3 linked regions of the Ovis aries genome follow. The protein of the gene in region 1 purifies or fractionates together with the protein of each later gene. This does not show direct contact. Links are inferred from orthologs where the notes say so. Each region holds a gene or a part of one and is shown in the gene's direction. Other genes may lie near its edges.

The links.
Region 2: the proteins of IRAK1 (region 1) and PELI3 purify together in Homo sapiens (affinity purification with western blotting; 7 studies listed by BioGRID and IntAct, with this or other methods). This does not show direct contact. The link is inferred for Ovis aries from reciprocal best matches to the Homo sapiens genes IRAK1 and PELI3.
Region 3: the proteins of IRAK1 (region 1) and TOLLIP purify together in Homo sapiens (affinity purification with western blotting; 11 studies listed by BioGRID and IntAct, with this or other methods). This does not show direct contact. The link is inferred for Ovis aries from reciprocal best matches to the Homo sapiens genes IRAK1 and TOLLIP.

Annotation. Positions count from the first base shown.
Region 1 is NC_056080.1:80,278,588-80,282,974, forward strand, and holds the start of IRAK1 (interleukin-1 receptor-associated kinase 1), read left to right. Parts: upstream 1-1,507; 5' UTR 1,508-1,591; coding exon 1,592-1,988; intron 1,989-2,110; coding exon 2,111-2,242; intron 2,243-2,357; coding exon 2,358-2,461; intron 2,462-2,616; coding exon 2,617-2,805; intron 2,806-3,051; coding exon 3,052-3,116; intron 3,117-3,322; coding exon 3,323-3,437; intron 3,438-3,819; coding exon 3,820-3,938; intron 3,939-4,387.
Region 2 is NC_056074.1:40,941,671-40,945,312, forward strand, and holds part of PELI3 (E3 ubiquitin-protein ligase pellino homolog 3), read left to right. Parts: coding exon 1-111; intron 112-429; coding exon 430-618; intron 619-2,245; coding exon 2,246-2,815; 3' UTR 2,816-3,642. UniProt on the Homo sapiens protein: E3 ubiquitin ligase catalyzing the covalent attachment of ubiquitin moieties onto substrate proteins. Involved in the TLR and IL-1 signaling pathways via interaction with the complex containing IRAK kinases and TRAF6.
Region 3 is NC_056074.1:46,576,340-46,579,429, forward strand, and holds the end of TOLLIP (toll-interacting protein), read left to right. Parts: intron 1-568; coding exon 569-780; 3' UTR 781-2,462; downstream 2,463-3,090. UniProt on the Homo sapiens protein: Component of the signaling pathway of IL-1 and Toll-like receptors. Inhibits cell activation by microbial products. Recruits IRAK1 to the IL-1 receptor complex. Inhibits IRAK1 phosphorylation and kinase activity.

The DNA of each region.
Region 1 (4,387 bases):
CCTATGGGAAGCCACTGGGGCTCAGGGCATGGCTGGCCTCCTCTTGCGGAGTGGCTGCAGCTTCTGGGAAGAGGCTGCCACAGAGGTGCGTCTCAGGCTGACCTGGTTTCTGCAAACCACTCTTGAAGTCTCTGGATGGACAGCCTGCGGGCGGGGAGGGTGGCAGCCCTCAGGGGTCAGGATCAAGTGGATAAGGGGGTGGCTAGCAAAGACCTGCCTTTCAAGTTGGCGTCCAGCTGGAAAAAACAGAAGAGGACGGCGCCCTGGCTGCTTGGCGGGAGGCGGGGAGGGGTGTCGGGGAAGCAGATGAGTGCTGAGGCTGAAGGACGTGCCAGGGGACTCCAGGCCAGCTTCCAGCTACCTGAGTATCTGCTGGATGGAGCTACAAGTGCAAACCCATAAGGGTGGGAGCCCTGGCACATTCTCGGAACCCCAAGGAGTTGTGGCTGGGTTAAGGCTGCTGCCAAGTGCCAAGAGCGAGACAGGTGGGCAGGAAAGCGCCACACGGTGACAACGTCAGAAGCCGTGCTGAAAAGCTGCAATCCCTCAGAGGGCTTCAGGAACCCCGGAAAGGTCTTAAGCAGAAAAATTGATGTGAAGTGCTTTGTGTCTAAGTAAGACCCCTGAGCTGAGAGGAGGCAGGGAAGCATGTTCGTTTAGGTTCATCTAGGTCAGAGCCCCGTGGGGAAGAGAGGAACTCCAGAGAAGTTCAGAGAGGTAACAGTTTCCTGGTGGCTGCTACTGTGGCTGCTACTGCTACTGCGAATGATGGAGGCATGCCGGAGGCCTGTGGGGAGACGCCAGATAGGCCAAGTATGGCGCTCAGTGAGCTTCAGAGAAAAGGGTGGGAGCTGCCAGAGCCCGCCATCCTCAAGCGTGACAAGAGGGTGGAGGGCAGCCGGAGTGAAGGTCTGTCTCTAAGAGAGTAGTAAACACGTTTTCTGTGCTAGCGGAAGGAGCCAGCGAAGAAGAAAAGAGGGCAGCTGCTGCAAAGACCTAACCACCGCTGGAGCAGGTTCCGGGAGGGCCAAGAAAAGATGGGATCCAGGGCCCAGGGGGTGGGTGGAGATGCTGCGAGCTTCCAGATCGTTCTTCCTGCCCCCAGCCTCACAAGCCAGCTGCAGAGAGTCAGCCGGGAGCCCTGGTGTGACCCACATCTGACCCTGGATGTCTTGACCCCTCTCCACCGCTTTCCCCACGAAACAGAAACCTAAAGAGGACCAGCCAGCGGCTCTCCGAAGCCCCGCTTCTAGCCCTTTCTGGAAGGCCTTCGCTGTGTCCATCGTCCCTGGGGCCGAGAAGCGCTCTCCTGCAGCCCTCGGAGCCCTCCTCCTCCGGGAAGCTCACCCGTCCGCCTCGCCGGGCCCCGGGGCGAGGCCTCCGGGAGGCGTGACCGCGCGCGGCGCCCCCGTGTGGCCGGGGCTGGCGGCGGTGGCGGCAGCCCCGGGTGCCGCCCCTTCCGGCCCGCCGGGCGTCGCACGAGGCCGCCTTAAAGGGGAAGTGAGTCAGTGTTCGCGGACCCGGCCGGCCGAGGCCCGCGCCCGCCGCGGCCCGGAGAGGCCCCGGCCCGGCGGCGGCGGCGGCGGCGGCCATGGCCGGGGGGCCGGGCCCAGGAGACCCCGCGGTCCCCGGCGCCCAGCACTTCTTGTACGAGGTGCCGCCCTGGGTCATGTGCCGCTTCTACAAAGTGATGGACGCCCTGGAGCCCGCCGACTGGTGCCAGTTCGGTGGGTGGCCGCAGGCCGGCAGGGCGGGCCGGGGCGGGCCGGGGAGCCGCGCGGGACCCGGACGCCGCGACCTGACGCCCCCCTGCCCCGCAGCCGCCCTGATCGTCCGCGACCAGACCGAGCTGCGGCTGTGCGAGCGCTCCGGGCAGCGCACAGCCAGCGTCCTGTGGCCGTGGATCAACCGCAACGCCCGCGTGGCCGATCTCGTGCGCATCCTCACGCACCTGCAGCTGCTGCGGGCGCGGGACATCATCACTGCTTGTGAGCGCGGCCCCGGAAACCCCCGGAACCCCCAGGACCCTGGGACAGGGGCCGCCCAGGGCTTGCCTCGGAGCTCCTCCCTCCAGCCTGGGCCTAACGTCCTTCCCTCCCCGGCCTCCCAGGGCACCCTCCCGCCCCGCTTCTGCCCGCCAGCACCACCTCCCCGACACCCAGCAGCATCTCCACACCCTCTGAGGCTGCGGTTCCCGGCCACCGGAAGTTGCCGTCTCTGGCCTCCACCTTCCTCTCCCCAGGTAAGAAAACCCGGGTTGGCCTGATGAACCTCAGGAAAGGACCCCCTTGCTCCTGGCCACCCCGATAGATCCTGCCACTGGCCTCTGCCTGCCTTTCACTGGTGTCTTTGCGAAGCTTTTCCAGGCTCCCAGACTCACTCTGACCCCGAGCTCTGCCCTGGACCAAACCCAGCTGCCCACCAGCCACCATTGCCATCTCCAGCCCCCTCATCTACCAAGGTAGGTGGGTCCTGCCCCCCACCCAGAGGTTTGATGCCAGCAAGCAGTGACAGCTGCCTTTGGTCCCCTGGGCCACCCCAGGCAGCCCTGCAAGGGTGGGCTGAGGCAGAGGGGAGGATATGGGACCTCACCTGATACAGGGTCTCTTCCCACAGCCCAGCCCGGAGAGCCCCATGCCCCTCCTGCCGGCGGCCCCCTCCTCTTCGTTCTGCTGGCCCCTCCATGAGATTTGCCAGGGCACCCACGACTTCTCAGAGGAGCTCAAGATCGGGGAGGGCGGCTTTGGCTGTGTGTACCGGGCAGTGATGAGGAACACCGTCTATGCTGTGAAGAGGCTCAAGGAGGTGTGTGGAGCATCCTCGCCAGGGCCCTCAAGGGCTGTTCCCAGACTCGGGCTTTTGTGGTCCTCCCCCACCCCCTTCGCAACCCCACAGGGTTCCTTCAGCCCTGTGATTTCACAGTCCAGGGCCCCCAGGCCCGTGCTCCTTCTGGGCCCAGAACAGGTGGCGGGGGGTGGGGGGCATGAAGTCCGGGCCACAGGAGTCTCACACTGCCAGTCCCCCCTGCCTCATTCTCCCCGAGGGCTGCAGGAGGCTGACCTGGAGTGGACCACAGTGAAGCAGAGCTTCCAGACCGAAGTGCAGCAGCTGTCGCGGTGAGCCTGCAGGCAGGGGCAGGGCCCCACCAGGACCACATGTCCGGGGACCTGGCTCCCCATTGGTCTGCAGCCTGCCAGGCCCAGGCGAGCTGGGAAACCTGGTTAGGGACCATCGGCACCCTACACCACCCCCCAACAATGGCCAGATGGAAGGCGTGCTGGATGCTGGGAGCAGAGCACTGAGACTCCACTGTTTCAAATAGGTTTCGTCACCCCAACATTGTGGACTTTGCCGGCTACTGTGCTCAGAGTGGCTTCTACTGCCTTGTCTATGGCTTCCTGCCCAATGGCTCCCTGGAAGACCGCCTCCACGTCCAGGTAAGCCTTGCCTGGCCTGGCCTGGCACACTGTGTCACTCTTGGCACCTGGTCCAAGCGGGACATGGGGCTGGGGTCCTTGGCCTCAGTGATCGGGACCTCTTCATGCTTGGAAGCCAAGCTCATGGGGCCTCTGAAAGGGGCCCCATCTGCTCCCCTGGGCAAACAGAGTAGCGGAAGGATCTTGGCGGCATTGCCCAGAGGGCAAGAGGCAATGGACAGCCCCTGGGCCCCATCTAGAGAGGCGCCCGCAGGACACAAGGGCTGACCAAGCCCAAGACAGGAGCATCTCTGACCTGACACTTCAGCGCTCAGGGGAAGCATAGATGGGCATCAAAGACGGTGGCTCCACGGTCTCCCCTTTCTTCCTTGTGCCCCTCCAGACACAGGCCTGGCCCCCTCTCTCCTGGCCTCAGCGACTGGACATCCTTCTGGGCACAGCCCGGGCAATTCAGTTCTTACATCAAGATAGCCCCAGCCTCATCCATGGAGATGTCAAGAGGTGAGGCGGGGACACGGCCAGTCCCTGGGGGCCTTTGAGGGTGGCAAGAGCCCTATGGCAAGGGGTGATGCTCCCACACCTCCCGCCAGCAGGGACCGGGGGTGCCTGCTGCCTGGTCCCTAGGAGCCTGGCCCTGAGTGATCCCCCTGAGAACAGGGGACGTCAGGGCTGGGGTCTGAGGGTCACTGAGCACCCAGTGTGGGCCAGGGGTGGACATGGAGGCCAAGGATGGGTTCCACTGGTGAACAGGGCCTCAACTGCAGGATGGGGCTCTGGGGGCCACTTGCTCGGAGCCCCAAGTGGCCAGAACACCATGAGCACGGGCCACAATCCGCCACTGAGGTGCACGTCAGTGGCTCCGGTCTGATTGTCTCAGGACCAGGCAGGGGGCAGTAGGTACAGGGGTGATGAGTCGCAGAGAGGGCTAAGGCCAGGCTGACGCCACCGCC
Region 2 (3,642 bases), on another chromosome or scaffold:
CAGAGCACCATCTCCCGCTACGCCTGCCGCATCCTCTGTGACCGCCGGCCACCCTATACTGCCCGCATCTACGCCGCTGGCTTCGATGCCTCCAGCAACATCTTCCTTGGAGTGAGTGAGCACTCCCAGGCAGGGACCAGTGCTGCATCTGAGAGTGAGCCCCGGGGTAGGCTGGGGAGGGGCAGTCTCCAGGGGTGATGGACCAGCCTGCAGTAATCATAACCACACCCTATGCGGGGATCAGCACCCCCACTTAGCAGATGAGCAAAGTGAGGCTCAGAGAGGTCAAGTGATGCCCAAGGTCATACAGTGCCAATTCCAGTCCTCTCTGGGCCACCTCTGGGCTCCAGGGTAGAGGGGCAGCACTCCTGGCTCGAGGCCTGCTGGGGGCCACTCAGGGATGTGATCTGATCCCACGTGTGGTCCCAGGAGCGGGCAGCCAAATGGCGGACCCCCGACGGGCTGATGGACGGCTTAACCACCAACGGGGTCCTGGTGATGCACCCAGCAGGCGGCTTCTCTGAGGACTCAGCCCCGGGTGTCTGGCGGGAGATCTCGGTCTGTGGGAATGTGTATACTCTGAGGGACAGCCGCTCGGCACAGCAGCGGGGGAAGCTGGTAGGTGGCCTGTCCACCCTCCTCCCCATCCCCTTGTCCTTCCCGGGGCCCTCCCGATCTGCCCTGCCCCCTGCCCATGCCAGGAGGTGATCTCCAGTCCTGCTGCACGGGGCAGCCCCCAACAGGCTCCATGTGGGGGCACACGCCGTTTGCCCCACAGAGGGGACCAGACCAGCATCTCCAGATGTGGCCCACATACTGCCAGAGGCCCACGGGGTGATGTGAAGTAGCACACACAGAACCTGGTATAGCTCCACACGCTTCTGAGGATGTCAGCAGCTGAAACTCACAGTCTCTTATGAGAGTGACACTTGGCCTGTTAGTGAGCAGTTTATAGCCTCAAGTGTTGGTGGTTTTTAACATGTCTGTCACGTTCAGGCAAGTTTAGCTTTATTCTTTCCTAGAAGGAAAGGGCCTTAGAGTAGTGCTAACACAGGTGATGGGGAACCTAATGTTGGGAGCTGGGAGAGTCCTAGAGAGAGATGGGGCTTGCCCAACGTCACATGGCCACGATCCTCAAAGGGGCCACATAGACGTTTTCGTAGGTGTGAGCACATGGGGCAAGGAGATGCCGAGCCTCGAGGAAAAGCATGGCTTATCTTCCCAGGGCCTCAGTTCCACTGGGAGATCTGGGGAAACGTTATTTTGTAAAATTAGGTTTGTGAGCCTCTCACTGGTACCTGCTACTGAGCACCTACTAGGTCCCAGGCACTGTTCCAAGTTCTCGCACTGATTCATGAGACCCACTTGCTACACAGGGAAGTAAAACCTATCTTGAGGACAAGGAAATTAAGACACGGAGGGGATAAGTTCCTTGAGCAGAGACACAGAGTTAGTAAACACTGAGGCCAGAATTCATGCCCAGACTATCTAGCGCTAGAGTCCTTGCTTTTAACCTCAGCCCTTAGGCTTTGGGCTAAGTCCCTGGTGTTTTGGACACAGGAGATTCTGGCCTCTGCCATCAGGGAAGATGAGCTTGAGAAAATGTTTTAGAAAACTTCCATTTTGGTCCAGGCCTTGTTTTTGGCCAGTATGTGGCATGTGGGATCTTGGTTCCCCGATTAGGGCTCGAACACCCTTCAGGGGAAGCACAGAGTCTTAACTACTGGCCCACGAGGGAAGACCCAGTCCAGAGTCCAGGCTTTCTGATTTGACAGATGAAATGACCAAGGCGCAGGTTCCAATGAGAGTAAGGCATGGTGCCTGCCTGGGATTATTTTTTTCTGGCCTTGCTGCCTGGCTTGCAAGATAAGATCAAATCTTAGAAGACTTAGAAGAATCAGGGATTGAACCTATGCCCGCAGCAGTGGAAGTGCAGAGCCCTAACCACTGAAAGTCCCTGCTAGTTTTGGGGGTTTTGGCTTTTGGGGGATGGTGCTTCCCCAGGACCACTTTTCCTGCTGGCCCATGGGGCTTCTTAGCCTCCTCTGGTCCTCTGCCCCAGCCATTCCCCTCCTCTGCCCCAGCCTACCCTCTCTGCCCCAGCTAGCCCCACGGGGGTCCAGGGTGCTCCCTCCAGGGAGGTTCAGGGGAATGGATGGGTGGCGTGACTGGGGTGATGGCGGCCGGATGGCTGGGGGTTCAGGAGCCCCTTGGGCACAAAGGGCCCCCTCTGCTGCCCCTGCAGGTGGAAAACGAGTCCAACGTGTTGCAGGACGGCTCCCTCATCGACCTGTGCGGGGCCACGCTGCTGTGGCGCACGCCGGCAGGGCTGCTGCGGGCGCCCACGCTGAAGCAGCTGGAGGCCCAGCGGCAGGAGGCGAACGCGGCTCGGCCCCAGTGTCCGGTGGGCCTCAGTACCCTGGCCTTCCCCAGCCCGGCGCGCGGTCGCACAGCGCCCGACAAGCAGCAGCCCTGGGTGTATGTCCGCTGCGGCCATGTCCACGGCTACCACGGCTGGGGCTGCCGGCGAGAGCGGGGCCCCCAGGAGCGCGAGTGTCCCCTCTGCCGCCTCGTGGGGCCCTACGTGCCCCTGTGGCTTGGCCAGGAGGCCGGCCTCTGCCTGGACCCTGGGCCACCCAGCTACGCCTTTGCACCCTGCGGCCACGTCTGCTCTGAGAAGACTGCCCGCTACTGGGCTCAGACGCCACTGCCCCATGGCACCCACGCGTTCCACGCTGCCTGCCCCTTTTGTGGGGCCTGGCTCACCGGCGAGCATGGCTGCGTCCGCCTCATTTTCCAGGGGCCGCTGGACTAGGCTTCCCGGGGCCCCTTGCTGCCGCGCCTGCCTGCCCGCCTGGGTCCCCCACCTCCAGGGAGCTCTGCATGTGAGACTACCTGCTGGCTCATCGCCACGCCAGATGGACGCGTTGGGTGGGCGGTGCCCTTCCCCTCCTAACTTGGGCTCCAGAGGGGGTCCCTGGACCCCCACCCCGGACAGAATGATGAGGCTCTCAGCACCAGCTCTGTCCTGGGCTTTGGAGGGAGGCCCAGCCCTATTGCCCCAGCCCTTCTAGGGGCATCCCCCATCATGCCGCCTACACTGTGCCCCTGGGGGAATGAAGGGACCATGGGTCCCTGACCCCCAGCTTAGGCTGGCTGTGCCCTGAGCCTGCCAACCCAGTTCTAGATAATCACCCCACCGCTGCTGCCCTGGGTTCCCCTATAAACCTGCTGCTCAGCTGCCTTCACGAATCTGCGTGTCCCGCATGCGTGCAGTGCCTCCAGCCCCCGAGTGAGTGCCGGGTGGGCGGCAGGCTGGGACCGACATCTGCGGATACCCACTGGGGACTGGACTCCTTGCCAAGTGTTATCTGGGGACACAGACCTGGCTCCCTGCCTGGTTCCCTCCCCAGTAACTGAACGACAGACCAATTACTGAACGACAGCATTGCTTCCTGTGTGCTAGGATCAGAGTCATCAGGAGTTTCGAAGCAGGTCTCACGGGTGGCTGGAAAAGTGAGAAGTGAGACAGGCTTCACTGGAGGGGCTAAGGGCTCTGCCTTGGTGGCCTGCTGGGAATCCCTACAGGAAAGGGGGTGCTCTAGGCAGAAAGGGGGCTCAGGACAGGCTCAGGGTAAGTAT
Region 3 (3,090 bases), on another chromosome or scaffold:
GGTCTCCTTCCTCGACGGGGTCTGACTGGGACTGGGTGCCCAGCTGGGAAGGCCTGTCCTGGAGGGCCGGCAGAGGGGCCGGCGGGGGAGTCTCGGTGCTCGGGGTTGGGGGGGTGGCAGCTGGGGGTGGCCGTGGTGCGAGGGCTTGACCCCCGTGGTGTAAATGGCTGAGGTCTGCTCACCCCCATTTTTCCTGAGCGTCTGGCCTATCTGAGAGGCAGTGTCCGGGGCCGAGATCTCTGGGGTGATGTTGGGGTGAGGGGGAGACCTCTGGGTCATGTCGGGGGTGGGGGGAGACCTCTGGGGTCATGTCGGGGGTAGGGGGAGATCTCTGGGGCAGTGTTGGGGTGAGGGGGAGACCTCTGGGGTCATGTCGGGGGTGGGGGGAGACCTCTGGGGTCATGGGGTGAGGGGGAGATCTCTGGGGTCATGTTGGGGTGAGGGGAGACCTCTGGGGTCATGTTGGAGGTGGGGGGAGATCTCTGGGGTCGTGTTGTGGGGGAGACCTCAGGTGAGACCTGGGCTCCGCAGCAGAGGGGCTGCCCACTGAGCTTGCCTCTGCTTGCAGGGATGCCCGCCGTGTGCAGCCCCGGCGTGGTGCCTGTGGCGCTGCCCCCAGCCGTGAGCGCCCAGCCCCGCTGCCGTGAGGAGGACCTGAAGGCCATCCAGGACATGTTCCCCAACATGGACCGGGAGGTGATCCGCTCCGTGCTGGAGGCCCAGCGGGGCAGCAGGGACGCAGCCATCAACTCCCTGCTCCAGATGGGCGAGGAGTCCTAGACATGCCCGCCGTCTCGCCGCCTGCCCGCCCGCCCAGCTCTCCCGAGCACTGTCCCCAGCAGATCCCCGTGAACATGCCCCGCGTAGCCCCTTCCTTGGACGTCCGTGTTGCCGTCCTCGCCCTCGTTGGGATGCATGTGGTTTTGGTTCTTGGAGCCGTTCTCCACGTGGTCGGGGCGGGGGGGGGTGGCTCTCCTCTCGCTTCCTGAAGGGTGGAGGCGGCGCGTCCCGTGCACACGCCCACTTCCTGCTGGCCGTCCTCCCGGGAGCCTCTCCTGGGAGCAGCTCCCCCGCAGGGCCTCGGTGCTGGGCCCCTTCTGGGTTGACAGGTGGTCTCTCATGATGCCGCCTGCCTGGGTAGACACACTAACAGCTGCTGTGGGTCGTGTTAGGGCTTCAGGACAAGAAGCTCCGCTCCTCCCCGTGGCGGTCTCCCTGGGCGCCTCGCTGGGGTCGGGTGGACCTTGCCTCGGGGCCCAGCCTGGCGTCTGCAGCCACGTCCTGAGCCCGCGGCCCCGTAGTCTTTCCTGCTGCCTCGCCCTCCATGCCGTGTTGTCCCGAGGGGTCGCCGCCCCCAGACGCGCGCTGACTGTAGAGCTCGCTGAGGTGGGTGTCGGGAGCAGACCCAGCCCTCGTCCCCGTCTGTCAGAGGCCTCTGAACTCTCAGCTCACCGCCGACCTTGTGTAGGAAGCTGGGCCGCAGGCTGGGTCAGCGTGGTGACCGCCGGCACTGGGAGGTCTTCCCGAGAGGCAAGAGGCAACCTGCGGTGTGGGCGGCACCCTGCCGCCTCTGGCCGTGGACACTGAGGATGGGGCCAGCTGGGTGGAGCCCCATGGAAATGAGAACACGGTGCGGCCAGCCACGGTTGCCGCTCTGCCTGGAGGCCTTGCCCGGCCTCTGGACATGGAGACAGACCCCACCCCGAGGCGGTGAGGACTCAGACAGACCCCAGTCCTGTCCCTGACGTAGGCTTAGCGTGAAGCTGGCCAGCGGTCAAGCCAACCAGACCCCTCCCGTGGCGGCCCGGTGGCAGGGAGGCTTGCGAGGGGGGTTCAGACCACCGGTGCCTTTGCCGCAGGCGCTCGGTAGATGCGTGAGACCAGCGGCTAAACAGCCGCACGCTGGCTGCAGCACGGTGACCACACAGCGCAACTCTGATGGCTGACCCCAGCCCGGGCGGCCCCACGCTGCCTCCCCGCCGCCGCCTCCCCCTGCCTGGGCCTCCGAGGACAGGAGACTTGGCTTCAGGGTGGCTGAGACCTGCCAGCTCGGGGTCCTTTGTCGCGGACGCCTGCTGCTGCACTGGGTCAGAGGAGGGCGCATCAGTAGGGCCTCGAGATGTCCGGTGGCCCTGCTGTCCCTGCTGCTCTGCTCACGTCCGTGCTCGTGTCCAGGCCGCCCCTCGGGGGGCACTAAGCACGGCGCCTGTGGCTGCCGGGCCCAGGACTGGGGTGCCTCACAGGTGGTTGTTGCTTGGTGTCGGAGAGGAGAGGCGTGTACAGCAGGCTCCCCACCCCACTCCCGTTTCAGGAGCCCTGCTGGGTGTTTGCAGAAATGGTCCTTGGAGCTTTGCGTTTCAGATCATTCTGTTGGGGTCCAGGGTCCAGATTCCTCTTTGATTGTAAGATATGTTTGTACCTTTCAGCCTTCTAACTTAATAAATGATCTATGTAAAAACAAAGTCCAGTTCTTCAAAGAGAATTTACTGTTTTTATTCCACTTTAATCTGGCTTGTAATAAGCCAGTTGATGAAACGGTCACCAGCAGACTAGTGAGTGAAGGCACAGGGCAGAGGCTGGACTCTGCCCGGGAGCCTAGAGTGTGAGCATGGAGCTCAGTGTGTGCACGGAGCCTGGCGTGCAGGCACGAAGCCTGCAGGGAGCAAGCCTACAGAGGATGTTAGCACCCTCGGTTCCAAGGTGAGCTCCGGCCTGCGGAGCGCGAAGACAGTTCACACACAGGCGCTCCAGTCTCTGGAGAGTGTAGACACTTCACACGCGTGAGCTCCAGTCTGCGATAAAAACAATTCACACACGTGAGCTCCGGTCTGCGATGAGTGAAAATAATTCACACGCGTGAACTCTGGTCTCTGATAATTCACACACGTGAGCTCCAGTCTCTGGAGAGTGAAGACACTTCACACGCGGGAGCTCCGGTCTGTGATAAAAACAGTTCACACACGTGCGCTCCGGTCTGTGATTAAAAACAGTTCACGCGTGAGCTCTGGTCTGTGGCAAATGACAGTCCTCAGGTGCCTCGAAAACATGCTTAGTTCTGGAAGAGGTCCATGGGTGTAAGGAAGACGCTGT